Drosophila melanogaster: one gene and its partners. The main gene of each other region encodes a partner of the protein of the gene in region 3 in a complex. Each region holds a gene or a part of one and is shown on either strand. Other genes may lie near its edges. The genes, in order: Nup107, Nup160, Mgtor and PCID2.

The links.
Region 1: Mgtor (region 3) and Nup107 share a complex: the UniProt entries of both Drosophila melanogaster proteins name them as parts of the nuclear pore complex.
Region 2: Mgtor (region 3) and Nup160 share a complex: the UniProt entries of both Drosophila melanogaster proteins name them as parts of the nuclear pore complex.
Region 4: Mgtor (region 3) and PCID2 share a complex: the UniProt entries of both Drosophila melanogaster proteins name them as parts of the nuclear pore complex.

Annotation. Positions count from the first base shown.
Region 1 is NT_033779.5:10,732,793-10,740,040, reverse strand, and holds Nup107 (nucleoporin 107kD), read left to right. Parts: upstream 1-3,969; 5' UTR 3,970-4,095; coding exon 4,096-6,268; intron 6,269-6,332; coding exon 6,333-6,697; 3' UTR 6,698-6,748; downstream 6,749-7,248. Other genes in the region: CG12299 (uncharacterized protein), read right to left, coding at 1-2,153; Vha16-5 (vacuolar H[+] ATPase 16kD subunit 5), read left to right, coding at 3,084-3,665; Dpy-30L1 (Dpy-30-like 1), read right to left, coding at 6,819-7,223. UniProt on the Drosophila melanogaster protein: Plays a role in nuclear pore complex (NPC) assembly and maintenance. Required for nuclear import of Mad. Mediates the association between the nuclear pore complex and a subset of active chromatin regions adjacent to lamin-associated domains.
Region 2 is NT_033779.5:11,122,249-11,131,778, reverse strand, and holds Nup160 (nucleoporin 160kD), read right to left. Parts: upstream 8,003-9,530; 5' UTR 7,901-8,002; coding exon 7,804-7,900; intron 7,740-7,803; coding exon 7,637-7,739; intron 7,584-7,636; coding exon 7,092-7,583; intron 7,035-7,091; coding exon 6,853-7,034; intron 6,780-6,852; coding exon 6,370-6,779; intron 6,297-6,369; coding exon 5,630-6,296; intron 5,565-5,629; coding exon 5,459-5,564; intron 5,391-5,458; coding exon 5,229-5,390; intron 5,174-5,228; coding exon 4,931-5,173; intron 4,876-4,930; coding exon 4,757-4,875; intron 4,702-4,756; coding exon 4,087-4,701; intron 4,022-4,086; coding exon 3,500-4,021; intron 3,444-3,499; coding exon 3,046-3,443; intron 2,973-3,045; coding exon 2,853-2,972; 3' UTR 2,789-2,852; downstream 1-2,788. Other genes in the region: CG4751 (uncharacterized protein), read right to left, coding at 17-104, 158-515, 576-914; RfC38 (replication factor C 38kD subunit), read left to right, coding at 1,608-1,667, 1,778-2,788; Csl4, read left to right, coding at 8,309-8,467, 8,522-8,977. UniProt on the Drosophila melanogaster protein: Functions as a component of the nuclear pore complex (NPC). Involved in poly(A)+ RNA transport. Required for nuclear import of Mad. May play a role in double strand break DNA repair. Essential for nephrocyte development.
Region 3 is NT_033778.4:11,850,149-11,857,037, forward strand, and holds the start of Mgtor (megator), read left to right. Parts: upstream 1-2,468; 5' UTR 2,469-2,607; coding exon 2,608-2,758; intron 2,759-3,199; coding exon 3,200-6,889. Other genes in the region: Sln (silnoon), read left to right, coding at 1-269, 329-934, 1,011-1,137, 1,199-1,580. UniProt on the Drosophila melanogaster protein: Component of the nuclear pore complex (NPC), a complex required for the trafficking across the nuclear envelope. Functions as a scaffolding element in the nuclear phase of the NPC.
Region 4 is NT_037436.4:11,623,024-11,628,799, forward strand, and holds PCID2 (PCI domain-containing protein 2), read left to right. Parts: upstream 1-3,417; 5' UTR 3,418-3,456; coding exon 3,457-4,644; 3' UTR 4,645-4,692; downstream 4,693-5,776. Other genes in the region: Akr1B (Aldo-keto reductase 1B), read right to left, coding at 1,091-1,175, 1,239-1,324; CG6083 (uncharacterized protein), read right to left, coding at 1,703-1,757, 1,828-2,529, 2,594-2,736, 2,893-2,961; Apt1 (Acyl-protein thioesterase 1), read left to right, coding at 5,431-5,478, 5,540-5,571. UniProt on the Drosophila melanogaster protein: Required for the export of nuclear mRNAs and involved in mRNA trafficking in the cytoplasm.

The DNA of each region.
Region 1 (7,248 bases), on a different chromosome or scaffold from region 3:
TCCTCCTGACAGCCCACGTCCATGTCGCCGAAGTCCTCGTAGTACATGTCAGAGTCTAGCAGGATCTGTTCCTCCTGCAGCCCGAGAATGGGATAGCCCGGATTGGTGAGAGCGTCCTCTGCTGCCAGCACTTCCGTTTTCACCTCCGCCGGCTCCTCTGGTTCATCTTGTTCCTCCTCCTCATCCGGCGGTTCCTCCGCTTCGTCGGGCTCTTCTTCGTCCTCGCCGGTGGAGTCCATGGCTGGCAACTTGGGCTGCTGCGGTAGCTGCATCTGATGCGGCTGTTGTTGCAGATGCTGCTGCTGTTGTTGTTGCGGATGTTGCTGTTGTTGTTGCGGAGGTTGTTGCTGGTGCTGTTGATGCTGCTGCTGATGGTTCATCTGCTGCAGGACGCACTGAACCCGCTCCACATAGGCTTGCTGCTCCTCTGCACTGCACTTGACGTCTGGAATCGCTCCGCCCGGCGCCGTGTTCATTCCGGACTGCTTCATCGTGTCCAGCAGCGCTGCGTGCTGGCTGTGCACATGGCTGGCCAGTGCAGTGGCATCCGCATGCAACGATCCGCAGACAATGCAAACGAGTGTTTCGTGCGGCTGCTTGGCGACCAGCAGGCCAGGCGACGTGGATGCGGAGGCGGCCGAAGCCATCTGGTGCGCCTGGATGTGCTTGTTGAGGTACGCCTGCTGGCTGTACGACTTGCCGCATATGGGACACGGGTAGGGCTTCTCGCCCGCATGGATCTTCATGTGAACACTCAGACTGGAGGCCTGTGTGAAGCACTTGTCGCATAGCTTGCACTGGAACGGCTTTTCGCCGGTATGGATGCGCATGTGGATGTTCAGGCTACCCGACTGCGTGAACGAGCGGTCGCACAGCGAGCAGGTGAATGGCTTCTCGCCCATGTGGTTCTTCATGTGCTGTACCAGCTCCGAGCTGGCGCGGAAGGCCTCGCGGCAGATGGCGCACTGGTACACCAGCTCCTGCGTATGCATGCGCATGTGCTCGTCGAGCAGCGCCTCCGCCTTGAATTCGCGCTCGCACTCCGGACAGATGAACGTCTCCGTGGGCGCGATGTGCGTCTTCTGGTGCAGCAGCAGCGAGCTGTAGTTGATGAATCCCTTGTCGCACTGCACACACTGATGCGGCTTGCGCACCGAATGCGAGCGCATGTGCACCATCAGGCTGCTGGACTGCGTGAAGGCCTTCGGGCAGAGCTCGCACTTGTACGGCTTCTCGCCGCTGTGGATGCGGATGTGCGTGTTCAGGCTGCCGATGTGCGTGAATGTCTTCTGGCAGATGGAGCACTGGAACGGCTTGTTGGTGATGTGCGAGCGCACGTGCTTGGACAGATCGCCGGCGTTGGGAAAGCTCGCCTCGCAGTGCGTGCACTGGAAGCATTTCTGGTTGCCATTCAACGCTGGATCCATCACGGGTGCACCGATGTTGCTCCGCCTTCCGCGCCGCCGCTTGATGGGCGTCGATTGCAGGCCCAATCCCGGGCTAACAGTGGGTGCCGGTGGTAGTAGCTGCTGCAAGGGCGTGACGCTTACGGTCGGCTGCACCATGAATATGGAGGTGGACTCCCGCGGATCTGTCATCTGCAGCTGGAACTCATTGTAGCCCGGACCGGCAACCAGGCCGTGAAGTGGCTGCACTGACTCCTGGCTCTGCTGGGTATTGGAGTTGCTGGTGGTCGGCACCGAGCTGCTTGATGAGCTCGAGTTGCTGGAACTCGAACTGGAGCTGCTGCTGTCGTCGTCGTCATCGTCATCGTCGTCGTCCGACGACGAGGAGCTGTCGGAGCCCGAGGAGGCGCTCCCATCCGACGAGTCGCTGCCATCCTCCGCCAGCTCGCACACCGGCTCGAATATCCAGCTGTAGTCCTCGCTCTCGTCGCCCGGGCTCTCCTGCTCTTGCTGTCCATTGCCCGGCTCATGGGGGTGCAGGGTGTTCATGTGCTGGTACAGCGCCAGCGGATGGACGAAGAACTCCGCACAGCACATGCAGTGGAAGGTGAGATCCGGCGGCTGTGGCTGCTGCGGTTGCTGCTGGGGTGGATTGGGTGCCTGTTGCGGCAGGAGGTGCGTCTGCTGCAGGATTGGCGTGATCGTCAGGGGCAGGTGGTGGTAGCTCTGTTTCAGCTGCACGGCCATCTTGCCAAAAGGCTGTGCAAATCAAACAACAAAAATCACAAGGAACACAAGCGACGAGCGTGTGAACATTTTCTCTATAATAAAAATGCGCGTTTGCGGGGAGAAAAATCAATGCCGTACCTTGGGTGAGATTAGATGCGAAGTGCCGTGGATCAGGGGTTCCGTAGACTACTATTATATCACTGGTGTGTGCTGTTGCTCAGGTTCCGTGCTTTTGTGTTTCTCTCAGGGCTCTCGTCCACATTCGTCCACTGCGTTCCATTTTATGCGCCGCCAGCGAAATGCGAATAACTTGCTTCCTGTTTTCGGTGCTCGCTTGTTTTTGAATTTGGCTGCTCGGTTCCGTGGGTCGCCGGAATCGCGTACCGTCCTCCGACCCGTTGTCTGGTTAGCTGCGACTGCCAGGAGCTGCGACTCGAGCGAATGCAGCGCATCGCCCAATCGCAATTCTGCAGAGCCAAAATCGCAATTGCAAGCGTCTTCGCCGTGCGTACAACAAATAAAAGAAAAATGTTTTATGTTGGGCGGCCCTTGCACGATTGGACGGCAGCATATCGTCATGCAAGCGTTTCGTGCACGTCGCCAGCATGATGACCGATAAACCGCGCAGCTTCAAATTCAAACCGCAATCGATTGTTACATCTTTCGAAGGTTTTAAACATTTAATAATATTTAATTTAATTTCGAGTGCCTAAATCTAAGCAAGTTTTATTATTAGTGTTTAATTTCACTTAACAAGTTGCTAAAATTATTGAATTGAGCCCTAACATCTTAAATAATATTAATATTAAATATAAACTGCTCATCTCGTTCCCCTTGGATTTTCTTTCTTGCCAAACTACAGGCTAGTCAGACTAACAAGTTGGAAAATCCAGAAAGCAAGCAACGTGGATCGTTCCTTTTCAAGTAAATACGAAAAAGGCTACCAAAATGGAAATGGATTACTATCTGCCAGTGTATAACGGATCAAATTCGGTGGACGTGCCGGGGCTGATTGAAAGTCTCAAGCTGAAGGAAACCAGTATATCGCCAATCGTGCTGGATCGCTATCCGCCGTACTCCCCGTTCTATGGCGTGATGGGCGTCGTATTCTCCAGTGTGCTGACCTCCGCTGGAGCGGCCTACGGAACTGCTGTTTCCGGAACTGGAATCGCCGCCACAGCGGTGATGCGTCCCGAGCTGGTGATGAAGTCCATCATTCCGGTGGTCATGGCGGGCATCATTGCCATATACGGTCTGGTGGTATCCGTGCTCCTATCTGGGGAACTAGCGCCTGCTCCCAAATACTCGCTGCCCACCGGCTATGTACACCTGGCCGCTGGACTTTCGGTGGGATTTGCTGGACTGGCTGCCGGATATGCAGTGGGTGAAGTCGGCGAAGTGGGCGTGCGGCACATTGCCCTGCAGCCACGCCTCTTTATCGGCATGATCCTGATCCTTATTTTCGCCGAGGTGCTCGGTCTCTACGGCCTGATCATTGGGATTTATTTGTACACGGTCAACATTAAGTAGCAGAATTTGTTATATCTAAAATATTTAATTCGTTAAGAAACGTTTTTATCGATCTTTAATATTTGAAATGCCTTTTGAATTTCTTTACGCGATTGTGGTACTCATTTCAGGTACGCCGTTGCGGTACGCGATGGAGGTACCCCATACTAATGATTCTACGGAATGCTGGTACCTTATTCTTTAGCAGCTTTGCCGAATTACTAGATATGTAAACAATTTAAATCAATTTGTTTCTTACGAAATTTGCTTGAATTCAGTGAGAATCGCTTATTTACAAGTGTATGTGCAAGGGAGCTTTCTTGCTGTTCCGTCATCTGGTAACACTGAACGCTCCCGGCATTTTTAGCGAATAGCGCGTGAATTTCTGTTTTGATTAAATTAATTGAATTGATGTGCCGTAGCTGATAGCCAAGAAACGCATAGTGCAGCCATGGCCGACAGCCCGTTCCCGAGGAGCAGCCGCAGTGGCCTGCTACGCACGACGCTGAACAGCTCGATGCCGCCGCAAAATCTCTCCCACTCGCTGCTCATCCTCGAGAAGAGCAACGCGGAGCAGAATGAGCTCTCGCTGATGGAGGACACCGGCGATGATCTGGATCGGGGCAAGAGCCGCATGGACGTGCTCTTCCCGCAGTTCTTCGACGTGCTGCAGGCTCAGGGTAACGGGCAGGAGGCATTCGAGGTGATCCAATCGCTGACGCAAGTCTGTCGCGGCGTGGTGGAGCAGCTGGAGCTGGAGATCGATCACGGCATGGGTGGGGAACAGGGCGCGCGGCAACGCGAGTCTATGCTCACCTGGCTGCGACAGGAGATAAACACGTGGCGCCTGCTGCACGCCCTCTTCTACGACCGCATCCTGCTGCAGACGGACAGGCAGGCGGATGATGAGATGCAAGATGGCCCCACGCTCGGCGGCAGCGAGAAGGAGGTCATACAGCAGTTGTACGCCCTCAATGCGACGCTGCGTGAGTACCAGCTGGTGGTGGACTGGCTGGAGGCGTGCTACGACCGGGGGGAGCAACAAAACCCACTCCACGCCCACGATCGTATGATGGCGTGGGAGAACACGCTCTTCCAACTGGAGAACCTGCAGGGCGCCGCCTTTGGCAAGGGCCATAAGATCGTAACGCGTCTGGATCCAGATGCTCCCGTACGCGAGAAACGACCGTTGCACGCCCTCGACGAGGAGGACAACCTGCGCCTGTCCCGCGCCATTTTCGAATTGATACGAGCGGGACGCGTCGACGATGGCCTCAAGTTGTGCAAGCACTTCGGACAGACGTGGCGGGCGGCGATCCTTGAGGGCTGGCGTCTCCACGAGGATCCCAACTTCGAGCAGAATGTCTCGGTGCTGCACGAAAAGCTGCCCATCGAGGGCAATCCCAGGAGGGATATCTGGAAGCGCTGCGCGTGGATGCTGGCCGATTCCAAGAACTATGACGAGTACAGCCGCGCGACGGCGGGTGTCTTCTCCGGCCACTTGGGCTCGCTGAAAACCCTTTTGCACAGCAACTGGCACGATTTGCTCTGGGCCCATCTGAAGGTGCAGATCGACATCCGTGTGGAATCGGAGATACGCGGCTGCTGCCTCAAAAACTACCAACCGATGCCCGATGATTACTGGAACGGCAGGATGACGATGGAGCAGATCTTCGAGGAACTGAACGTTGCCAAGGATGCGTCGGTGCGGGATTTCGCCCAAAGTCAACTGGGCATTATCCAGCGTCATTTAATCCTGGATACTTGCGGCGAGCTGATCCAACACATGGTGCGCTGGGTGGAGAAGGATACCTCCCAACAATCGCCCCATCAATTGCGCTTTATGGCCCACATAGTGCTCTTCCTGCGTCAAATCGGCCGTGTGGAGCAGGAGCGACAGGCGGAGAAGATCGTAGCCGCATATGTGGAGGCATTGATTGCCAGGGGCGAACCGCAGCTAATAGCCTACTATACTGCATCGCTTTCGAATCCGCTGCAGGTTCAGCTCTACTCGCGGTTTCTGGAGCAAGTGGAGCAGAAGCGTCCGCGGGAGCTAGCTGTGGATGCCGCCCTGCAGGCGGGCTTGGATGTGGAACAGATCACACGCGTCACCGTGCAGAATATTCGCCTCGCACATCAGCCACTCGGGGAATTCGGTGAGCCGCAGTCCGGCGAGATCTCTGCAATCGATCAGCGCAAGATCTCAGCATTGGAGTGGCTAATCCATTTGCCGGAGCAGCGCGGTGAGTTGCTGTGGCAGGCCAACGCCATGATACGCACCTATCTGGCCAGCAGCAAGGTGGAGTGCATGCGCCAGACCTTCCGCATGGTGCCGGCCGACATAGTGCAGCAACTAGTCAGCTTGTACGGCTCGGTGGACAACATACCACCGCGTGAGGAGTGCTGCCTGAAGGAGTATCTCTGCTACAAGGCGTATCTGTCTGGCGTCGACAGTTTCGTCGAATGGAACCGCCTGCAGCAGAACAGGCCCAAGAAGCCACAGACTTCACACGCAGCTTCCTCGCAGGACAACTTCACGGAGCGCATGGCGAGTGAGCGCAAGGAGCAGGCTCACCGATCGGAAGTCGTGCGCTGGGAGCACAAGGTTAAGGAGCAGGCCAAGCGTAAGTGGATCGCATACCCATTAATGAGATCTTTTGGCATATAACCCGCATTCTTTCCCTGCAGAAACCATCGAACTCCTGTACAATGTGCTCATGTTCCCGGACAAGGGTTGGCTGGTGGATCCGTTCATCGCCAAGCTGCCCGAGAACGCCGTGCAGCTGAGCTGGGATCATCGCCTACTGCAGATGGAGAAATTGCGCTCCATCTGCATTCCTGAGATCGCCCTGTTTCTGAACGAAGTGATGTTCAAGTCGGGAGACTTTGCGGGTTGCGTGCGCCTGGCAGATGAAATATCCAGCGAGAATCGGCAGTTGTACAAAGTCTATACGAAGCACAAGCTGGCAGAGCTTCTGGCCAAGATCGCGGACGCCTCCCTGGAGCTGCTCAACTCGAAACTGGATCCATGGGGCTATCCTATAACAACTTAGCAATCCTAGTACATTTGTGTGTTTTGCGATTACATTCTAACTTTAAACGTTTATTATTTATTCACTGTTCAATTATACAACTAAGGAGGGGGACAAATGGGAGGTAGGTAGGATGGAGGGCTTAGGAGTTGTTGTCCACGGCGGCGGCGGAGGCGTTGTTCTCGTCGCACCCGTTGCTATGCTTTAGTAGGTAGGAGGCCAGGAACTGTATGGGATCCGTGGGCCGTTCGCGAGCCAGGGCCTGCATTCCGTGGAGCAGAACCGGCGCCACCGTCTGGTCGAGGTACTGTCGCGTGGGCATGTTGTTTGTCTCGCTACTGGGCTTCTTGGCCACCGCCGGCTGCTGTTGCTGCTGCGCCACTGGATTTGTGGACTGGCCAACGGCAATGGCTCCGGATGGAGGAGCTCCCGGCGCAGCGGTCGGGTTTGCTTGCGCATTGCTGCTTGCATTTGGCTCCTTGCCAGCTTCTGCCGGCGGATTTGTTGTGGGCGCTGGTGAGATGGGTGCGTCGGTCTTGGCCTCCATGGCAATGTGTTCCTTTTGTTCAGCA
Region 2 (9,530 bases), on a different chromosome or scaffold from region 3:
CATTTGGTCTACTCACTGTACTACGTTGCGATTCGAAACGGTATTATGTGCGAAAACGGTTCGCTTGACGACAATCTCCGGGGTGTCAGTCTTGCGTTCAGCATCTATGGATTCGATGGAATTAGCAAGGATTATAAAGCAAGTGAGCTTTACCTACCCAGTTCACAATCATCTAGCGGCGTCTCCTTTTGCAACGCGCACTTTCGCAAATACGTGTTCTTGTAGGCGTCCAGCTTCTTTCCCTTGTACTTGACCGAGGCCCAGCCGCAGCCGCTCTTCTTGTCCGGATTGATGATCCGCTTGCAGTGCATTGCCCAGGCGCTGGGCGTGAGGAATATTGTCTCAGTCTCATGGGATTTGATCTTACCGTCGGCCAGTAGATCGCCAACGAACTTCTGGCCCAGATATTCGATAGTCATTAAGCCCAGGCCCGGCTGCAGGACATTGGCAGCCATCAGCGTTTGCAGTGTGACGGTGCGTCCGGTGCCATTGAAGCCCTCGTAGTTCTCCTTGGTCTAAAGGGTTTGAATAGAAAATATTATACATTTTCAAAAAGCTTAAGGTATCTCGCTCACCTCATCGTCGTTGTCCTCGTCGCCAGCATCGCTATCCACATCCTTGTCGCACATGTTGTCCTCCAGTATGGCTACAGGTGCTGCACCATCCGTGGGCGGTGGCCCAGGGTCCGGAGTGACGTCCACAGCTCCGGTCGTCGCTGGTGCACGCTCCCCCTCCTCCGCTTGCACCCCTTCGCCAACACAATCGTTTGTTATTTGCAGTGGCGGCGGCGGCGGCGGCTGCAGCACCTCCCCCTCCACTTCACCGTCACCATCACAGTCTCCCTCGCCATCGGAACTGCTCAGCACCTGGTTCTCGCCTGACTCGTCCACACCATGTTCCACTCCGTTCTCCATGCGTTCTTGTCGCGAATTCTGTGCAATTCTACGGATATTTTACTTCCAAGATACTTAAGTTTTGCGAAAAAAAACTGATGGATGCAGTAAGGTAGCTGCTTTTTCTACCCAGAATACCGAAACTCATTAAAACCGCCAACCCACGGTCACACTTGCTAGCGGTCCAATTTTAACCGGTAAAAACGGAGGAATGGCGTTGCCATACATAACATGAGAAGCATTGAATCGGTTATTTATTACAGAAACACAAGAAATGTTTTTGTTTTCAAATGTTTATTTATCATAAAAGAGTTCAAGTCTTTTAGGCATTTTCGTAATCATTTATTTTGAAATCCATTAATTTTACTTGTTTTATCGTTGGTTTTAGTCGTGGCACGAAAACAGTGTAAATGTAATAATATTACTTTAAAATTAATTTTAATTGTGATCTGTTAAAGTATTTAATTTTTTAAATCATTCAAGCCGAAATAATCATTTGAAAATATGTGCGTGGCAAATTTAATGAAACCTCTAAACATCGATATCACAGCGTAGAAATCGACAATAATCATCAAAAACATCGAAGCTTGCAGCATTACTAGAAATAGTCAGCGGAAAAGGCGCGCATTAAATTGTTTTGTTAAATTACTTTTACGGTCAGAAAGTAACTTAAAATACATCCAATTACTATCGTATTTTACATGCGTTAACGAAATGGCACTTTGGGTGGATAAATACCGTCCGCGGGAGCTGTCCAAATTGGACTTCCACAAGGTAAATCAGCGAGGAAACCGGCGCATACATCTATATAGCTGGCCCATATATTAAAGTATCTCTTTTTAAAAAGGTTTTTTATTTTATGATTTTTGCTAATTTCGATGCAGGATCAAGCGGAGAACCTACGCAACCTTTGCAAGCAGAGCGATTTTCCTCATCTGATGTTCTACGGACCCTCGGGTGCTGGCAAGAAGACACGCATCATGTGCCTGCTACGGGAGATGTACGGATCCGGCGTTGAGCGGTTGAGGAGCGAGACCATGACATTCACCACGCCATCCAATCGGAAGGTAGAGGTGATGACGGTCAGCAGCAACTACCACTTGGAGGTGAATCCCTCCGACGCTGGCATGTACGACCGCACGGTGGTGATCGATCTCATCAAGCAGGTGGCCCAGACGCATCAAATTGAGATTAGTGGCCAACGGGAATTCAAGGTGATTGTAATTTCGGAGGGCGACGAACTCACCAAGGATGCCCAGCACGCCCTGCGCCGTACGATGGAGAAATATGTGGCCACGTGCCGGATAATCATATCGGTGAACTCCACATCTCGGATCATTCCGGCCATACGGTCGCGTTGCCTGGGCATACGGGTGGCGGCTCCCAACGAAACGGAGATCGTGTCCATCTTGCAGAACACTTGCAAGCGGGAGGGACTCGCACTGCCCGTGGAGCTGGCCAAACGGGTTGTGGACAAGTCGGAGCGCAATCTCAGGCGAGCACTTTTGATGCTGGAGGCCGCCAAGGTGGCCAAGGCGCCGTTTACCGCCAATCAGGAGATTCCCGACCTGGACTGGCAGGTGTTCCTGCGTGAGACAGCATCTCAGATTATCAGTGAGCAAACGCCTGCCAAACTGGAGAAGATCCGCGAACGCCTGTACGAGCTACTCACGCAAGGCGTTCCACCTAATCTCATATTCCGCGGCCTGGTCGAACAGCTGGTTAACAATTGTGATATGTCCATCAAGGCAAAGACGCTCGAGTTCGCCACCGAGTACGAGCACCGGATGCAGTCCGGCGCCAAGCACATTTTTCATCTTGAAGCGTTCGTCGCTCAGTTTATGAACATCTATAAAAAGTTCCTTTCTGAGCTGGACATGACGGATGATTTTTAAACGATTTACACGCTTTAGCATTTAATTCAAAAAACTTATTAAATAAACTGATTTAAACGAACTATTAACGTTCTTCCTGAAGATCCGTTCGCATCTGCAGAACGGCCATGCTCATCTTATCATCGGTGGTGCGCTTTATGGTCTCAATATATCTTTGAACTTCTTCTTCGAGTTTAAAGTAAGCCTAAAATAGGAATAGATTTGGAATATGATTGGAATGTATTTTGAGTAGAACGAAATTTATATGTATGACTTACCATTTCATAATCAAGATCATCCTTGCCATTAATCTTTAAACCGTGCAGCAGCAAATCGATCGTGCTGATGGGGAAGCAGAGCTGTGGGTTTGCTATGTTCACCGCGTGTTTGAATTCGAAATACTCGCTACCTGCTCCCAGCATGCCGGCGATTATTTCACATCCCAGATCTGCGGCTTCCAGCAGACGATTGTGTTTCACAAGTAAGTGGAGCAGTTCCCGGGAGTGGGATAACTTGTAGGAGTTTATCAGCCACTGGGGCAAGAAGGCGTTTAACCCGAGAAGCCTTTGAACCACGCTCTTTCTTATCAAGGTGGAGTCTTTTGCCTCGTTATCCACAACCAGTTTTTGAAGTAAAGTCCAGGCCATATCGGCAGCATTACTTCGATGAGGTAGATCTGTTATAAGACATATAGTAAGCCTCTTTTTTTCATACACGTTAAAAAATCCCTACCTGCCATGTCGTTGTTTTGCAGCCAGTTCCAGGCGTCCGACGACTTGTCCTCAGTGGCAGCAACACAAGCGGATGTCAGACTCTCGAATATGGGGAGCACAGAGAACGAGTGTCCCCGCGAAAGTTTCAATGCCGCGGTGTACAGGCCGGAACTAGCCAGCAGGTATGATAGCTCCTCGGGTGTGGCCCGCTCGTAGGCAGCTGTATCTTTGCGGTAGAAGGAAAGCTCACGTAAAGCTTCTGCGTGCACCAGTTCCCTTCGGATATCAGCCAGCTCTAGAACAACCACCTCCTGGCCTCTCTTGTCCTCGTCACATTTGGGCTCACCATCGTCGTTATCCTGATCTATGGTAATCACCTGCTCATCACCAAGAACAGGCTTGGCAATCCATCTGTAGCGGCTGTCAACTAGGTGCAAACAGTTTAGGCAAATTAACAGCGAGGAGCAACGTTTCTCTAGCGCGTTTGGTGCATCGCTGTCTACTTGAAACCGCATGGCCTGCTCATACATAACCGTAGAAGCTGTTCGGAAACAAATTATTAATGCAAGAAGAAATGGAAGAAAATAAAGTAATTTTTATGCAAACCTTTTCTCATGTTACCCTTGTTCGTATGGAATGCATACAAAAAGTTGTAGACTTCGTTCTGATCGATGCTCATTGATCGTGCCCGGGATTCAACAATGCTCTCGAACTCGTCTTGCAACCCGATGTAGGAGAACTGCATAAGCAGTGGCAGACATTTATTCTGGAACAGCGTTATGACCAACTGGCGAAGGCAATCCTTACGCCTTGAAATATCTGCATTGTTGACTAAGGCGGTGTACGCCTCCACGTAGTGTCCCAACTGCAGATGATTATTGAACACTATTGACTGGAACATGGGCAACTGAGGATCATCTGGCTGCAGCACCCTAATGGCCATGTCAGCCAGTTGAATAATGTAGTCCAATGCGGAATGCTGTTCAAAGAGCTGGATAACCTTAAGATAGTAGTGAACAATTGCCAGTTTTGTGTCTTCGGGGGAAATTGTATCGCCACGGCTGACGCTATTCTGTAATTTGCCGTATAGAGGGGTATTTTTCAGTACATGCTCAAAGAGGAAGTCATCCTCCACAATGCCAGACTCCGCCTCGTGAAAGAGATGCACGGCCTTGTGGGCCTCACCGCAATCCAATAGAGATACGGCTAGCATAAAGCGTCCTGCGGAAAAAAAGGATTAATTTCAAAGCTGGGAAAACTAGCAAATAATGCATACTGGCATGTTTTTGTACGGAACACCAGTTTGACAAAATGCGCACGTAATCCTGAACAATGATGTGATGACAGGTCCCAAATAACCATTCCGGAAATACGTAAATCGGAGATCCCGGCCAACTAAGAGATGTTTGAAACTTAAAACATGATCAATTTTTCTATATATTATACGCACAGCATCTTATTGATGTATCCAACAAGTTGGAGCAAAGACTGGCGTAGATTCAATTGCTCCGAGTCCAGCGACAAACTGTCATGCTTCAGCAGCATAGTCAAGGCGCTGAACAGACCTTTCGATTCCAGGAACAGTCGGAGCAGAGTGGTCTGATCGTTCCCATTATGTTTCAGATGGCTGGAGTATGGTCGATTATAGCCGCTGAAAAGTTGGGCGCGGCTCAATCGTTGAATAGATGCCTCGCTAAAATTAAAATAGAAGTTAGAACTGTGCAATACAATCAATTATATATCCTTACAATCCAGCTGGGGTACTCGATGAAATGGGTGTCTCGGCAATCCAAACCAGTGTATAATATGAGTTCAAATAATTTAAATTTGTTAAAACATTTTCGCTTTCCATTTCGTTCTGACCATAAGCCATGTACTGCAATACCAAAAGGTTTCGGCAAACAGAAAACCTAGGGACACATGATTTAATAAATGATAAACCAAGTTCAAAGTTTTTTAAACTATTACGAAAGCTCACCGTATCATTGCCATTTGCTTCACTGTTTCGGACAAAATAGAAAGTCCATATTCGCTACCCATTAGAGCCCCAGACGACTGCAAGAAGCGCGTAGAAAGGGAGTAATCTATAAAGTAGAAATGAAATATATGAATCATTTTCAAACATTATATATATTTATAAGTAATTTACCATGCGGCGGTTCATCTGGATCAATCATACACAGCACATCGAGCAGCATTTCCAAAGCGGGTTCAAGATTTGGTATATTCTGCAGCTTCTGTTGGATTTGCCTCACACAGTTTGATGGCAATATTGGACCATTATCATCGATCATACTGATTCTAGCCACCAGCTTAGATATTACTTCAACCGGTGACTCCCGCTGGTAAAGCTGTTTATCTAGCTCGATTTTAATGTCCTCCGAAATTAGTTTATCAAGCAGTGTCACCACATTCATGAGCTCCACAAAACCCTTGGCCATTTCGGGATCGTTGCGAAATAGTGGCGCCACATATGTCGCCACTTCATCGTTATGCTCGCCGATGAGCAACAGGTGCTCGAGCACTTCGCAGGGGCGCAGCAATGCGAATGATTGCCTTCTAACCAAACATACTGCATCCATTCCACCAAGAACGGCGAGTCCTGTCGGCTCGGAAAGCTTAATGTGATACTGTTCGCAGCAGGAGTAAAAGCGATCCCACAGCCGAGTGGATATCTCCAAGTACTCCTCATCGGTGACCACAAAGTCTTTCAGTTCGTTTTGGATTTCATCTTCCACGGCCTGGCATACCTGCTCCTTGAGCACTGACATGGAAAGTTGCTTTACATCGAATTGCAGGTTAACGCGTCTGAACATCTACGATACAAAAAATTCAAATTACTAAACTATTCCAATAATTCATAATAAAGAATGTTTTGGTTATACTCACATATAAAGCCTTGGCAATTACATTTCGGTCAAATCGACCAGGATGAAATATATAGCTGCAGTAAGTTTCGCGTGGATCCACTCCCTGCTCCATGGTGAGACAATACCGATCCGGTGGCGGTTCTAGAGCAGCCGAAACCCATTTGATTGCGTTGTTGGAGGCAAAATATGCTGCCGAGACATGGAAATCGCCTTCAGCGTTGCTCCAAAGGGCCCAGATGTGCGAGGATGTGGCATCGAAGTCGACCAAATCCGTTTGCGGCGCCGGCACCATGTTCTGCACCAAATTGATAACGCTGGCATCGTCGGCATCGGGCATTATGCTAACGCATATAAACTCAGCTCGGGAATTGTGCGAGAGAAATAGACAGAAGTTTTGATCGCTTATTTTTCGGAGCTGGCTGTTTTGTGCTGTTAAAAAAAAGAATATAATCCCATTATATCTAGATCATAAATCTAAATCGTAATAATATTTTATACTCACGTCCTTGAGCTGCTGAGTCCTGTCCCAGTTCGGTGGAGCAGTTAATGCTGGCTACAGTCTGCAAGTTATCCACTGACCATAGACGCAGCTCATTATTGCGATACAGAACCAGAATGAAAATTTCCCCCCCGATTTCACTGAAAGCCATGGACGTGGCTGCCTCCAACGTTTCAGAGCGGCCGCTACAATGATTAATGAAACATTAGGGATTTGCCATTTATCGAGGTTTATCCACTTACGTGAGGGCACCCTTGAGATTCGACAGAAACCATGGCATTAGCTTCGGCTCCTTGATTTCGTGGGTGATAGTATGGCCGGTGGAGCATTTCATAACGTGAAGCAGTAGTTTGCTCTGATACGCCACCGCAAAGTAGGCTGACTGGGAGTCTTGAGTGAGGTACGATACAGCCGCGTTGGGCATAGTTCCAAAGCCATCCGTGACATAGTAAGTGCTGGGATCATTGATCTTGTCATTGACGTCGTAGAAAATGGACTGGGATAGCAGATCCTCTGGAGAAGCTGCGCCACCTTCCTGCCCAGCGACCTTCAAGGGAAACACATAGCGATGCACACTGCTGACCGTGACCACCAGCAGGGTGACGGATGTACCTTGCTCCGTGAGTGATACATTCAGCACAGCGGAGTCGGTGAATCGCAGACGCAGGTGATTCCTCTGCAGGGAGATGTCCAAACTAACCTCTGATAGTTCCAGGACATCCTGGTATGTCCGCCTGCAAATCAGTGGCCATGTGAAACTAATTTAACGATTCTGATTTGCACTTACCAATATATGAAACGGTTTCTGGTCTGAACATTTTTCGTATTCTTGTAGCAATAGCCGCCGGAGGTTTCGAAGGTTTTTAAATCCTGCAAAGTGCTCTGGGTTCCTACATTTTGCGGAGGAGCATTTGGTTACTCAGAATTTCTCTGGCAATCTTGCACGAAACTCACCCGTGTTAATTTTCACCTCGATCCACTCCGCCGGACTGAGGTTCCGCGGTATGACCTCGCGGTAGCTCATGTTGGCTTGCAGTTTGGATGTGGGCATCTTGCTAGCACAACAAATTAATATAAAAACCTCAACGAAAACGGAAAATTATTGGCGGCACCGGCGTAAACACGCTCAGTAGTAGTGTTGGAAAACGCTTACGCCAGCGGTGCACACCAGGCAAAATAGTCGACATAGCTTTTTATACTCACATACAAAAGTTAATTACAGAAGTTAGTTAAAAATTGTACATTTTCCTAAATGTAATTTCATGACAATAAAGTTTATTATAGCAAAGCAGGAATGATATAAGATGCCTTTAAATCTTGTGATATTAAGAAAGTTGTCGCTAGCATTTTAACAATTGCCACATATTGGTCACACTGCATTGCACGTGTGTTTCCATTTGTTGATGCGGCTTTATTATTTAGTTTATTTTTTAAAATAAAAACTGTCTCTGGCCTAAAAATGAGTGAACAGCAGGATGAGACTGTAGTCTGCCTGCCCGGGGAGCGACTCTGCAGAACCGAGGACAGCATAGTCCTGGGCATAGGCACCTACGAGCAGAATGGCTACATTTACGCCTCCAAGTCTGGAATTGTCAACATCGAAGATTCGGGTGATAAAGTAAGTAATCCTGGCATTTCGTTGACTCTGGGAACCAATTAATCTCCATTTCAGTGCCAGGTGGTTAGTGTGCATAAGCCCGGATTTCATCTAACCATCCCAGCCACCGGAGACGTGGTCACAGCCAGAGTTCTCGTCACAACTCCAAAATTCGCCAAGTGCGCCATTTTCTGCGTACGAAATGTGCTGCTGGAAAGCAGCTACCGCGGACTTCTGCGCAAGGAGGATGTCCGGGAGACCGAAAAAGATCGCGTCGATATCTACAAGTCCTTCCGGCCGGGCGATGTCATCCTGGCGAGGGTCATTAACCAACTGGAGCAGTCCTTCCTCCTGACCACCGCCGAAAATGAACTCGGCGTGGTCATCGCCTATGCCAGTGATTACCGGAAGACCCGGGTGCCCATGGTGCCGGTCGGCTGGAGCGAGATGCAGTGCCCCCAGACCACGATCAAGGAGCCACGGAAAGTGGCTAAAGTTCTGCCTGAGAGTTCAATAAATGCTGTGAAATAAGGTCAATCGCATGTTAATCAGAAGCTTAAATTCATTTGTGGAACTAAAAATGTTTTAGTAAGTGATTATTAGCCAAATAATTATATGTCTTGGCAACCAGAGGACGCTGAATATGGATACAGGTTTATGTTAGCATTTTATTTCCATAGCAACGTTGATAAGTAGCTATTTGACAGTTTACATTATTTCAAATCATTAAATAAATCTATAATTAAGTTGTAAAAGTTCAAAACAAGCTGGTTTCCATAGTTTAGCTTTTATGATTGATACGTATCTTATATTTGTTATTTATTCATGATTGGTTTGTTATAATGATTCAACAAGAGATTAGAATTTAATATTGGATCGTCATGCAATTGCTGTTTTTAAAAGTATCTCTATAGATTCGAAAGTCATGGGAATAGATTAAAGAAATTGTGCGGTAATTTGTTCTAGCAACTTAACAAAACATATTTTATGTTTAAAATAATTCATAAACACAAGGTAATCTAAATATATGCAGGCACATGCACTTTATAGGTTGGCAACATAAAAACTTTTAGGGTAAACGACA
Region 3 (6,889 bases):
CGGTTGCATGCTTCACGTGTGCGTTTCGGCCACACTTTACCGCCCAATCAGTGCTTACACGGATCAGGACTCGGGCCAGGGACAGGAGGAGACGGCAAAGCCCCTCAACGAAGACATCAATCCGAGCACCACGGGCATTCTGACTACATCCACCTACCTAGACACCTGCGATGTGGGTGCAGGCCACGAGCTGAGCGACAAGTTTATCGAGCATCTGTTCCTGGAGGAGTCCAAGAACCACCTGAACTACTATGCCAGCAAGCAGCCAGGTGGGAGTATTATTTCATCGAGGAAAACTCCAAATAATAAATCCCATTTGGTTACTTAGCCCAGGACAAGTCAGCGCAGGAGAGTGACGACGAGGTAAAGGATATTATTGGCGAGACCACTTTCATCAAGCCCATGAAGAAGGTGCGCAGTTCCGGATTGCTGCACTCCGTCGAAGATCTGAGCACGGACTCCACTTGGGTCTATCGCAAGCACTCCGGCACGGACTCCAATCGCGGAAGTCGTCGTCGGCGCAATGTCTTTGCCAACGACGAGGTGATATCCAAGATACAAGCCCACTTGGAGAAGCCTCTTTCGCCGCCGAGTGTGGTCAGTCGCGGACTCAGCAAGAGCATGGAGATACCCACTCCGGTTAGCAACCTCAGTGATCTCAAGCAGCAGCCGGTGGAGCAGGCGGAGCTCGGCATTCTAGACTCCCAGCTGGTGGAGTCCATTATCGATGGCGACGGCCACCTTGCCGCCGATGAGGATGACGATGACGACGAAGAGCGGGGACCACGCACTTGCTGCGAGCGCATCGAGATGTACCTGGACATCAGTCTGCTGCAGGACCCGAGCTTTATCCTGATGTGCCTATCCGTCACCTTGATGTCCGTCGGCTGTCCCTACATGTTGTACTATCTGCCCGCCCACGTTATTTCAATAGGTATACTATTTAAAATGTTCAAAGTATATTCTTTCGGCGTACGATTTTAAATATTATAAACTTGGTTCATCTTTAGGATACAATAAAAGTGAGGCGGGATACCTGGTGGCCATCAGCGCGGTCCTAGATTTAATTGGGCGCCTTGGACTTGGCTGGCTGTGCGACCTGCAGCTATTCGATCGCAAGAAGACCTACACCTTGTGGTGAGTACCAGATAAGGTTTATTTTTCGATCCAAACTAATCACATTTCCCTATATCGACAGCATTTTGGGCGCCGGATGTGCCGTGCTCACAATTCCCTTCGCCAAGACTCTGGTTTTGGTGGGTCTATCGGCCGCTGTCTACGGACTTTGCCTGGGTAGCTGGTATGTACTTATGCCGGTCCTCCTTGCGGACGTCTTTGGCACGGACAGGATCAGCTCGAGCTACGGGCTGGTGAGGATGTTCCAGAGCATCGGGGCCATATCGGTGCCTCCGCTGGCAGGACTGATGCGAGACCTTTCCGGAGACTACGAGATATGCTTCTACTGCATGGGATCCTGCATGGTGCTCGGGACCACTCCGCTGATTGTGTGGTCCATCCTGGAGGCCCGCAACCATCGGTTGTTTGTTCAGCGCGAGGAGGAGGAGTGCGAGGAGGCCTAGAAATGATTCGGATTCGTTGGTTGCCCCATATGTTAATAGTGTTTTAGTAGCGATCAAATACTAGTTGAGTTCCTGAGTTTCAGAGTTCGAATGCCTCACCGATATTGCTGATTCTACCAGTTACTATTACTACTATCCGTACGTTCTCATCCGTATCTTTGTATCTTAATCAATCCCCATGCCCACCCGCACCCAATCGCTTGTTATCCTTCCGTTGAGCAACAGCAAAAGGATGTGTAAGATGATGATATTCAAACGAAGAAACCAAACAACCTAAACAACCAACAACTGAGCACCAAATGTTGCGCAAAAAGAACTGAGTTTAAAAGACATGAACTACAAATACCCGTATATAACTTTATAATATGATAACTACGATCAATGCCCGACTAGATGGTTATATAGGCCGACTATAGTTGTAGGTTCGCACATCCATATCGGAAAGGACTAAACTTTGTGCAGGAAAAATTAAGTGGCTTTAGACAGAAGGGAGGCTTGAATGGAGAACATCACATTACATTACCCTAGAATTAAAATAGTTGTTGTGAGACATTTACCCATAAAGACAATTACCAAATAAACACGAAATCAAAAGGTTAATCGCGTTTTATGGAATTAAAGGGAATGATTTCGCTTGGTTTGGGTTTTGCATTCGTTTATGTTATTAAATAAAGTCCTTTCTTTTTTTATTCGTAATAAAAACGGATTTTTCAACCACGTTTAAAAAATTTTTTTTATGAATGAATTTATCTCTTTTTAAAGAAAAACATTTTGTTTTATTAGGCTGTGAATAGGCTGTTATAACGCTGTTGAAACAGTGAGAATAATATACTCGAATCGATAGTACCGAAAAATATCGATATTGTTCCATCTCCACTGCATTGACGTTCATTTTTTCGCGTCCCTAAAGCGACTTTGTGCACAATTCGCAAAAAATTAAGACTAAAGTAAAGTAAAAAGTAAGAAAGTAAACTTCGCACCGCTCCATATAAATTTAACCGCTGCTTGACAAGGATCAACTGCGAACATGGATCTCAGTGGTCCACAAACTCTGAACAACATACTTCAGCCCGACGAGTTGAAACTCGTGCCGGAAGACGTCCAGAAGAAATTGTCGGAGTACATCAACAATTTCTCAGATGAGTACTGCAAGAACCGTGCGGCCGCCAATCGGTTGGGTAAGTTTTTATATTTGTATATATACTAAAATGCGCCATATTTTGCAAATAACCCTTTATTTGCATGCGTATGCTTTTACCTCCAACTTTGCGGCGTTTACCGGCTCAGATACCGCTTCTTGTAATAAGCAATCCGCGACTGTATGGTTTCTAGCGTGGTAAACACTCTTGCGCCATTTACATATTTTTTGTATAGAAATTTAAATATAAAATTCCGGGTTGTTGCAATTAAAAACAATGGCTGCTTGCAGCAACATTATTTTCCTTATTAATTTTCACCTCACCGGTGTGGTAACACTGGCCGGACATTTTCCCACCAAAACAGTTGATTAGTCCGAGTTTGAAATCTTCAGGGAATTTCTGTGTATTCATTTTAATCCAAATACTTTGTGGTTACTTAAATCCAGTTAAGAAGATTATTTATTTTTGCCCTTTTCACAGCCGAAGCCGAGCAAAAAAAGGAAGAGCTGGAGAACAAAATGGAGGACTATCTAGTAAAATTTACCAGCTTTGAGTTAAATGTAAACGAGCTGCGCACTCATCTAGATCAGATGTCTTCGGAACGAGTTAACCTAATGGACACGATCGCCAAAGGCGAGCAAACTATATCACAGTTGCGCAAGGAAAAGGCGTCGGTAGTTGAAGAACGCGATTCGATGATGAAGGTAATCGAGCGCCAACAAGCGGAGCTGGAACGATTGAAGCAGGATCTGCACACCTACCAGCAGCAGCTGAGCAGCGCGATTGCTGCCAAGTGCGAAGCCATTGCTCGCGTGGACGAAATTCAAAGTAAGGAAGTGGCTCTGGAGCTCAAAGAGAACCGCATGGAAAGCGAACGCGATATGCTGCACAAGGAGATTTTGTTAATCAGCGGAGATCTGAACAAAAGCAACGCCGAGTTACAGAACATCCGACGGGAGCACACAATAAACACCATGCAGCTACAGTCTTGCCTTAAAGAAAAGACCGAATCGCTAAAGCTGATGCAGGAACAGTACGAACAGGCCGTCAAGACCATCGGGGAACTAACCAGCAAGATTGAAATGCAAAACGACACCGCCTTCAAGCAGAACCAGGCCACGGAAGAGTATGTGGGGAAGCTGAAAAAGGAACTTGATGCCAAAGAGAAGCTTTTTGAAATCTTTAAGAGCACCGAATCCGATCATCTGATCCAACGGGAGGAACTCCTACAGGGCATCTCCGAAATTAAACGTTTGTTAGAGGAGGCCGAAGAGCAGTGCGCCCAGTTGACGGAGCAAATGGAAACCATGAAGCAAAAGCACAGCGCTGAGTTGGACGAGCAAAATAAGAAGATTCAGGCTATGGAACAGGAGCTAGCAAGTGCCAACGATTTGCTAAAACAGGCCCGGGAAAGTAATTTGGAAAGCGCCATATGCCAGTTGGCTCCCAGTGCGGCTGTGGCTAGTCGCCTTATCCGCTCCGATCTATCGCTTACCGAACTTTACTCCATGTACGCCAAAAGCAGCGAAGAACTGGAGATGCGAAACTGCGAAATTGAGCAGTTGAAGTTGCAGCTCAAGTCGATCATTGCTGAGATTTCAGAGAGTGCACCGATTTTGGAAAAACAGAACTCCGATTACCAAAAAATGAAGGAAACTAACAGTGAGCTCCTGCGGGAGCATGATGAATTATTACAAAATAAGCTATGCCTTGAGCGGGAATTGGAAAGGGCCTTATCTACCCTTAATCACAACCAAAATGAGAATAAGAAACTAAAACAGACACACACCGATCTCAGCCGACAGGTGTGCATGTTGCTGGACGAATTGAACTGCATAAGGGCTGGAGTGAAACATGTACGTATCCAACCAACTCGTCAGCTACCCACCAGCGAAAGTTTGATCAGCGATAACTTGGTAACCTTTAGTTCTATTGAAGAGTTGGTGGATAGAAATACATACCTCCTGAATATGTCCCGCGAGCTCACAGAACTTTTGGAGGCTAGCGAAAAGAACCAAGATAAGATGTTGCTGGAGCAGTCTAAGAATCACATAAGAAAACTGGATGCGCGTTTTGCCGAATTGGAGGATTTATTAACGCAAAAGAACAATACGGTTACTACACTACTATCCAAGTGCGACCGCTACAAGAAGTTATATTTCGCGGCTCAGAAGAAGCTCGGTCAAAATACTGTGGATCTGGACGACTCCAATCTGGAGCCTAACGACTCTGCACTGGATACTTCAGAGCAGCCGGCAGCCAATTTTGAGGAGAGCAGGAAACTGGAAAAGAGGGTGCGACAGCTGGAGCAACAGTTGGAAGGGGAGGTCAAGAAGTATGCCTCACTGAAAGAGAACTACGACTATTACACTAGCGAAAAGCGTAAAAACGATGCACTGGCCCAAGAACAGTTCGATTCTATGCGTAAGGAGGTGCGGGAGCTAACCAGCAGTAACTGCAAGCTTATGAACACCACCGAATTCCAGAAAGAGCAAATCGAACTACTTCACAAAAATATAGGCACCTACAAGCAGCAGGTGACTACATTGGAAGAGCGTACCAAGAACTATGAAAAGACCATTATTAAACACGAGCAAACCGTACATTTGCTCAAGGACGAAATGATGGCGGCACACCGCAAGCACGCAGCAGCCGATGCAGAGGCTCAAAGCCTTCGCCAAGAGAACCGCATTCTAAGGGACACATCTTCTAGACTGCAGATCGAAAAGGAGACTTATCACCGCGAGCAGCAGAGCCAATCACTGCTTCTAAACAGTTTGGAATTCATAAAGACCAACCTTGAGCGATCTGAGATGGAGGGTCGCCAGCGTTTAGAGCAGCGTTTAGATGACACTGTACGGGAACTGGCTGCTCAGCGTCGTCACTTCCAGGAGGAGGAGGAGAAGTTCCGTGAATCAATTAACGAGTTTAAGCGACAGGCGGAGACGGCCATCAAGTTGAAAGATGAAGAAAAGCAGCTGGCAGACAAGTGGCAAGCGGAGCTTACCAGCGTTCGCGAAGAACTTGCTGAGAAGGTCAACAAGGTCAATGAATTAAGCAAAAAACTTCAGGAAGTTCTGACGCCCACTCTAAATGACAACCCCATCACTGCAGCTAATAAACGAGCACGAGAGTTCGAACTTAAGCTGGACCAGGCCACGGTGGAGATTGAGTCACTCACTAAAGAGTTGGCAAAGACTCGTGAGCATGGCGAGCAGTTCTACAAGATGTCTCAAAGTGCCGAAAGTGAGATCAAGCGTCTGCACGAGCTTCACGGCGAGTTGGTGGCCAAGCAGGAGGAGGAAATCAAGAAGCTTCGCAGTTCAGAGGCTGAACTGAAGACCCGTATAAGCGATTTGGAAGCGGAGGCCATGTTGTCCAATGTCACCGAGCAGAGCAAGACTGTCAACCAGTCGGGTCAATTAAAGTCAGCCCAAGACGATCTAAAGAGCTTGCTGGAGAAGCTTACGGAAGCTAATTGCACCATTCGGACACTGCGTAGCGAAAACACAAGCCTGGTTGAATCTCTTAATGCTGCGGAGGTGAAGTATGCTAACGGAATGATACAGCATTCTGCAGATATTCAGGAGTTAACCCGTTACAAGGCAGAATTCTTCAAAGCCAACGACGAACTCAACCAATTAAAGTCAGGTCGGGAATCATTGCAAGCCGCATACGATGAACTTCTGCGTTCGAATGCCGAAGCCCAGAAGTTGCTGGACAAGGAGAGGGAGGAGTCAGAGAAGAGAGTGGCTGATTTGCATGCATTGAACTCCAACTTGCATGATCAAATCGAAGCTCTGGCCTCGAAGCTGGCTGTTCTGGCCAGTCAAAGCCAAAACCCGAACTCTTCCTTGAATGAGTCTGCAATGGATGGAGATCAGAGCCTGAATGCTTCTGGACTAACCGCTGCCGAAGAAGGAAGGAACAACGAACAGCTACTAAAGATCATAAAGTTTTTGCGCAAGGAGAAGGATCTGTTCGCTGCCAAGCTGGACATTCTCAAGGCGGAAAATGCTCGTCTGATTTCAGAACACGCCATTCAACAAAAGAAGGTTGACGAACTGAATGGCTATCTGAACCAAGAGCGCGCAAAGAGCCAGACAGACGTGGTGTCGGCCAACAAACACGAGGAGGTGCTACGTAAGATTGAAACTCTGAATGCCATCA
Region 4 (5,776 bases), on a different chromosome or scaffold from region 3:
CCACTCTAGATAAGAGTAGAACCCCGTTACTATGTGCCCCAAATATATAAACGTTTGTGGATTACAAGTATCTGGAAATGATGTGGCACATATTGCGAAAAGTTTCCACTGCCCTAAGAAGGTAGAAAGGGTCACCTTGACGAAAGTTCATGGAGATCTTCAAATCACACATCTATTCACCATGGTGTGCAATAATTAGCATAAAGGCAGCAAAATATCGGTTATTTTTGTAATATAGCTGCTAGATTCGACGCTTTGCAGCAGATATAGCATTTAATATGTACATATGTATGTACATACAGACTGACCGGCAAAATACAGCCGGCAAACTATCAGCAAAGCGACGCTTTTTTATCCCCTATGTGTATTCTGGCATCAGTGCAAAAAGAGCTGGGCAAAAAACGGGAAATCGTGGGCAGCGGAAAACTACCCGATTGTGGGAAGCAGAACTCACAAACACAATTGCATTGATTTGCAAGTGGTATAATGTATAAAGTAGTGCAATCACTTGATATTCTACTTACGCCCCAGGTTCCCAGTCCAATGATTGGGACTTCCTTGCCGTTGTTGAATTTAACGTTCGGTACAGCCATTGTACTATATTTTCGCTTATTGTTTAAGGATATTTATAAATATTTATAATACAATTGGGAATCTTTTAACGATTGCCGCCTCTCAACAAACTGAGCGATTCCACTCAGCTGTTAACCGCTTATATACGCACCGCAAAAGCTTGTTCGAAATTCTAAAAAGCTTTCGGAGGACAGGGCTGCATAGTCGACAAGCCGAACAGCTGAGCGATCGTCAGTTACGCTTAAATATCGAGTGCTGATATACTCTCTATATAGCATAAAAGAAAATATATATTAAACTAAATCAATTAAAACATTTAATGATTTCAATAAATGATACTAAAATGTATCATTTTACATATGTTATGATCGCTATAAAATTTCAAAAGCCCTTCAACCATATAGGCTCTTTATGATCGCTATGTAAAAATTTTTATATCCATATCTTCGTAAAAATATGATTATTTATCAAAACTATGGCATAGATATGAAAAAACAGACATTGTCATAATATTTACATTGAAAGTTCCGAGCCCAATTACTGGAATCTCATTTCCGTCCAAGCAAACCACCTTGGGAGCTCTAGCATACTCCTTCTGACACCTACAATATTTGTGGAAATTATACTTTTGATGCTTTGTTCGATTTGATTTTCCTATATATTACCACATAAATCGCTCTGGTTTCCCATAATTCCTCAACGTAATGCGAAAAACAGGCCTAACCAATTGAATTTTCATTAGAGTGTTCATTTTGCACGCCAGTAAATTTTAATTATTTGTGTAGAGACTTCTTGACGGATGGAATGCAATGGCTACTTGGTTTTAGTATTGAAGCCTAAATGAAAAATAGCAAAATAAATGTGTATATAAAAATAAACAGCCACATTTTAAATACAGCTTAAAATGCCCACCAACTCAAAGGCTACAATTCGATTTTACACACAGCAAAACAGTTTAATTATATTATATTATTATATTGTATAACAATAATTATGCTAGACTTCTCAGTATAAAGGAAGTACCTGGACATCATCAGTATAACTCTGCAGATCGCCGCATACAATCTTACTTATCACATTAAAGGCAATCAGTTTAAATAACTACTTGTACTTCTAATATTAATTAATATTAATTATCTACTTTGGCTTTGGGTTCAAATGGATGATGAGGATGTCCATAGGCCCTAGGAGAAAAATAGAAAGATTCGAGATATTTCAAGTTAAAACCTAGGAAATGAAAAGAGCAACACCTACGCCTTCATGGTCATAAAACGCCCATTGCAGTCCAATTCGTTAATGGCCTGTATGTCATCGACGGCCAACTCAAAGTCCCAGATTCGCTTAAAGTTGTCCAACATGTGCTGTTTGCTTACTGATCTTGGGATGACAATTATACCCGATTGTGTCTGAAAGCGTAGGAGCACCTGTGCCGCAGTCCTTTCGTATTTCTCAGCTATAGCCAAGATGGTCGGATGCTGGAGCAGTGGATAAGCGCCGGGCTTCTCGTAGGGCGTATGTCCCGATCCCAGGCAGCTGTAGGCGGTCACAGCAATGGCATTGTCATAGCACAGCGTAATCAATGGCTTCTGACTAAGGTACGGGTGGCACTCGATTTGAAGAACTACCGGTTTAAGCTTGGCCACACTGAGAAGTCTATTCATCTGCTGCTCATTGAAGTTAGACACACCGATGGCCTGGCACAGACCCTCGTCCACCAGATTCTCCATTGCACGCCACGTGTCCACATAGTCGATGTCCTCGAATGCGGCCTTATTGGTGTCCGGACACGTGGGATATAGGTTGTCACTGCCCGACTTGTAGGCCATGGGCCAGTGCATCAGGTAGAGGTTTAGGTACTTGACTCCCAAGTTCCTTATGCTTGTCTCACATGCCGGGCGCACCAAATCCGGCTTGTGGTGTGTGTTCCAAAGTTTGCTCGTGATGAAGAGTTCATCTCTGCAGTGCAATATGTATTTATGGCTTAGATAAACGATTGATTAGGCCTGAAAGCAGCACTTACCGTGTGACCACTCCCTCGTCCATTTTCTCCCGGAGAGCAGCTCCCACTTGCGCCTCATTGCCATAGATATGAGCGCAGTCAAAATGGCGATAGCCTATATCAATAGCATCCTTTACTGCTTGGGTCACCACTTCCGGCGGGCTCTAAAATGGCGAATAAAACGTAAAAAGCTGAGGTGCATCAAAAGCTTTTGCTTGACCCCGAAGAGCTTTGACATTGACCGTGAAATATGCAGTGGAAATGCACATTTCAGCTGGCTATTATTTAATAACAATATATATCTATGTAAAAGTACTTACCCGCCAAGTTCCGAGACCCAACATAGGCATATTTTTACCATTGCTCAAGAGAAAATTCGGTGTCGACATGTTTGAATCCTTTTGCTCCTTGTGAAATATGTTGTTGCACTGGCTTCGTTTTTGGAAAGCTTTAATTTGTAATTTACTAAGTGAACTATACTCAAAGGCCTATTAAACTGGCTAGAAACAGCATGTCTTGTGACAGCTCTGCTATCACAACTATATGTACGAAAATTGTTTAAATTTAGAATCTTTTGGGCAAGCAAAAGACCTTCGCGGAATATAATCGATTCGCTGCAGAGGGAAATTTTAAAATTTAAAACAAAAAACTCTTTTTCTGCGTTCAGAGTTTTATTTTATAAACCGAGTATAATGTAAATAAATACCTTTTTTTAATAAAATAAAATAAAATGTTAAAAAAAAAACTTTTGAAAAAATATTCTTTGTATTATCGCGTTATAAAAAACAAAGACAATCGATAGAAGTTTCCGATGAAAACATCGCATTCGCAGATAGTGCCTGACCTACCATCTCTAATTTTGCCGCCTGCGAAAAACACAAACAATGTTCGGCACCGTAAATAACTATTTATCCGGCGTTTTGCACGCCGCCCAGGATTTAGATGGCGAGTCCTTGGCCACGTATCTCTCCTTACGAGACGTGCACGTTCAGAACCACAATTTGTACATTGCCCAGCCGGAAAAGTTGGTGGATCGATTCCTGAAACCGCCACTGGACGAAGTTGTGTCCGCCCACCTGAAGGTGCTGTATCACCTGGCACAGGAGCCTCCTGGTTACATGGAAGCCTACACCCAACAGTCGGCAGCCTGCGGAGCCGTTGTGAGGCTTTTGCAGCAGCTGAAGGACGAGAATTGGTGCCTGCCACTAATGTACCGCGTGTGCCTGGATCTAAGGTACTTGGCGCAGGCCTGCGAGAAGCATTGTCAAGGATTCACACCTGGCCACGTATTGGAGAAGGCTGCCGACTGCATAATGGCCTGTTTCCGCGTTTGTGCCGCTGATGGACGAGCTTCAGAGGAGGACACCAAGCGTCTGGGCATGATGAACCTCGTAAACCAGCTATTCAAGATTTATTTTCGAATCAACAAGTTGCATCTGTGCAAGCCCCTTATCCGTGCCATCGATAATTGCATCTTCAAGGATTCTTTTCCGCTGCCGGAGCAAATTACCTACAAGTATTTTGTAGGTAGACGGGCTATGTTCGACTCCAACTACCAGGCAGCCGTACAGTATCTGTCGTATGCCTTTAGCAACTGCCCGGATCGGTTTGCCAGCAACAAGAGGCTCATCCTCATCTATTTGGTGCCAGTGAAGATGCTGCTGGGATATCTGCCCAGCAAATCCTTACTGCAGCGCTACGATCTCCTGCTGTTTCTCGATCTGGCTATGGCCATGAAGGCTGGCAATGTGAATCGCTTTGATGAGATTGTCAGGGACCAGGAGCTGGTGCTGATCAGGAGTGGTATCTATCTGCTGGTGGAGAAGCTCAAGTTCCTCGTGTATCGCAACCTGTTCAAGAAGGTGTTCGTCATCCGGAAATCGCATCAGTTGGACATGGGTGACTTCCTCTCCGCCTTGCATTTCGTTGGCTTAACCGATGTTTCTCTGGACGAGACGCACTGCATCGTGGCCAATCTCATTTACGATGGAAAGATTAAGGGGTACATCTCACATGCTCACAACAAACTGGTCGTGTCGAAGCAAAATCCATTCCCCTCAGTGTCCCTTTAGTGCATTTTGTAATTATTGTGAATTTTTAAGAGTAAAAGAATCCAATTTAATCAGTGTATTAGTTTACTGGATGGGGCATGTGAATGGAGGGCACCAACGATGAGTATAAGACCTGAAGACTTTGAATTTAAAGTACCTTCAATTCTATTTGGTTATAATTTTGTTTGGTTTTTCGAAACCTATATGTTTCAAATCAACTTATGAACTAATAATATAATTTTTGGTTATAAATATGTTTATTTTTCAACGGTTTTAAACTAATACCACTTTTTAAACTTAATCGAACTTTGGAATTGATATATATCGATTTTTGTGCTCGAACCGATGTATCGACAGCGGAATCGGTTTCGGTCACATCTCTAGGTCCACCGACTATCACTCATCTCTGAACTTTTTGGAACGCAGCTGCATGAATTGTCGTAGTTGAGCGAATTTAAACAAATTAACACAATACTTGTGGTATTACCTGGTAAATGATTAGAGCCTCATTCGCGCAAAGTGTACATAAGACAAGTGGCGAAGATTAGATCTAGTTAGCTAGTAACCATTTCTCAGCCGGCGACGTGTTGTCATTTTCGCAATCGTAAAATCAATATTACTAATTTTGCTTTGCGTTTACAACGTGACATAACTAAAACGCAAACTACAAAGTGTTTCTTTTTCACTGCATTGCAGAAATCCGCTGACACCGAAAAAAGCGACGAAAGCAGCGCCAAGTCGCCGAATCGCAGAGTACCTGGAATAGGAATAGTGCGTCCCCAGTAGAGGCTAAACTGAACAGCAGACATGGCTGCGCCGGTCATTGTCGAGGCCACGGTCAAGCAAACCGCCACGGTGAGTAGTCCGCCGTAGTCCAAATTCCGGAAGCCCTCGACTAATCACTTGTGTATTGCAGCTGATCTTCATGCACGGCCTGGGTGATACGGGGTAAGTGGGGTCATCCTCATTCAAAATAATGCTCCCAAAGACTTCATTCACAAAATATTGAAGTATGCGAAACAGAAATATTTGCACATATGAAATTAAAAGGATTTTAACGCTTCAGTTCCTATGGGAAAAAAAAACAATTTATAAGCGCTTAGGGTGTTCTAGATTCAAGTAACTGATGAGAAGCCTTCAGAGTATTCCCCAG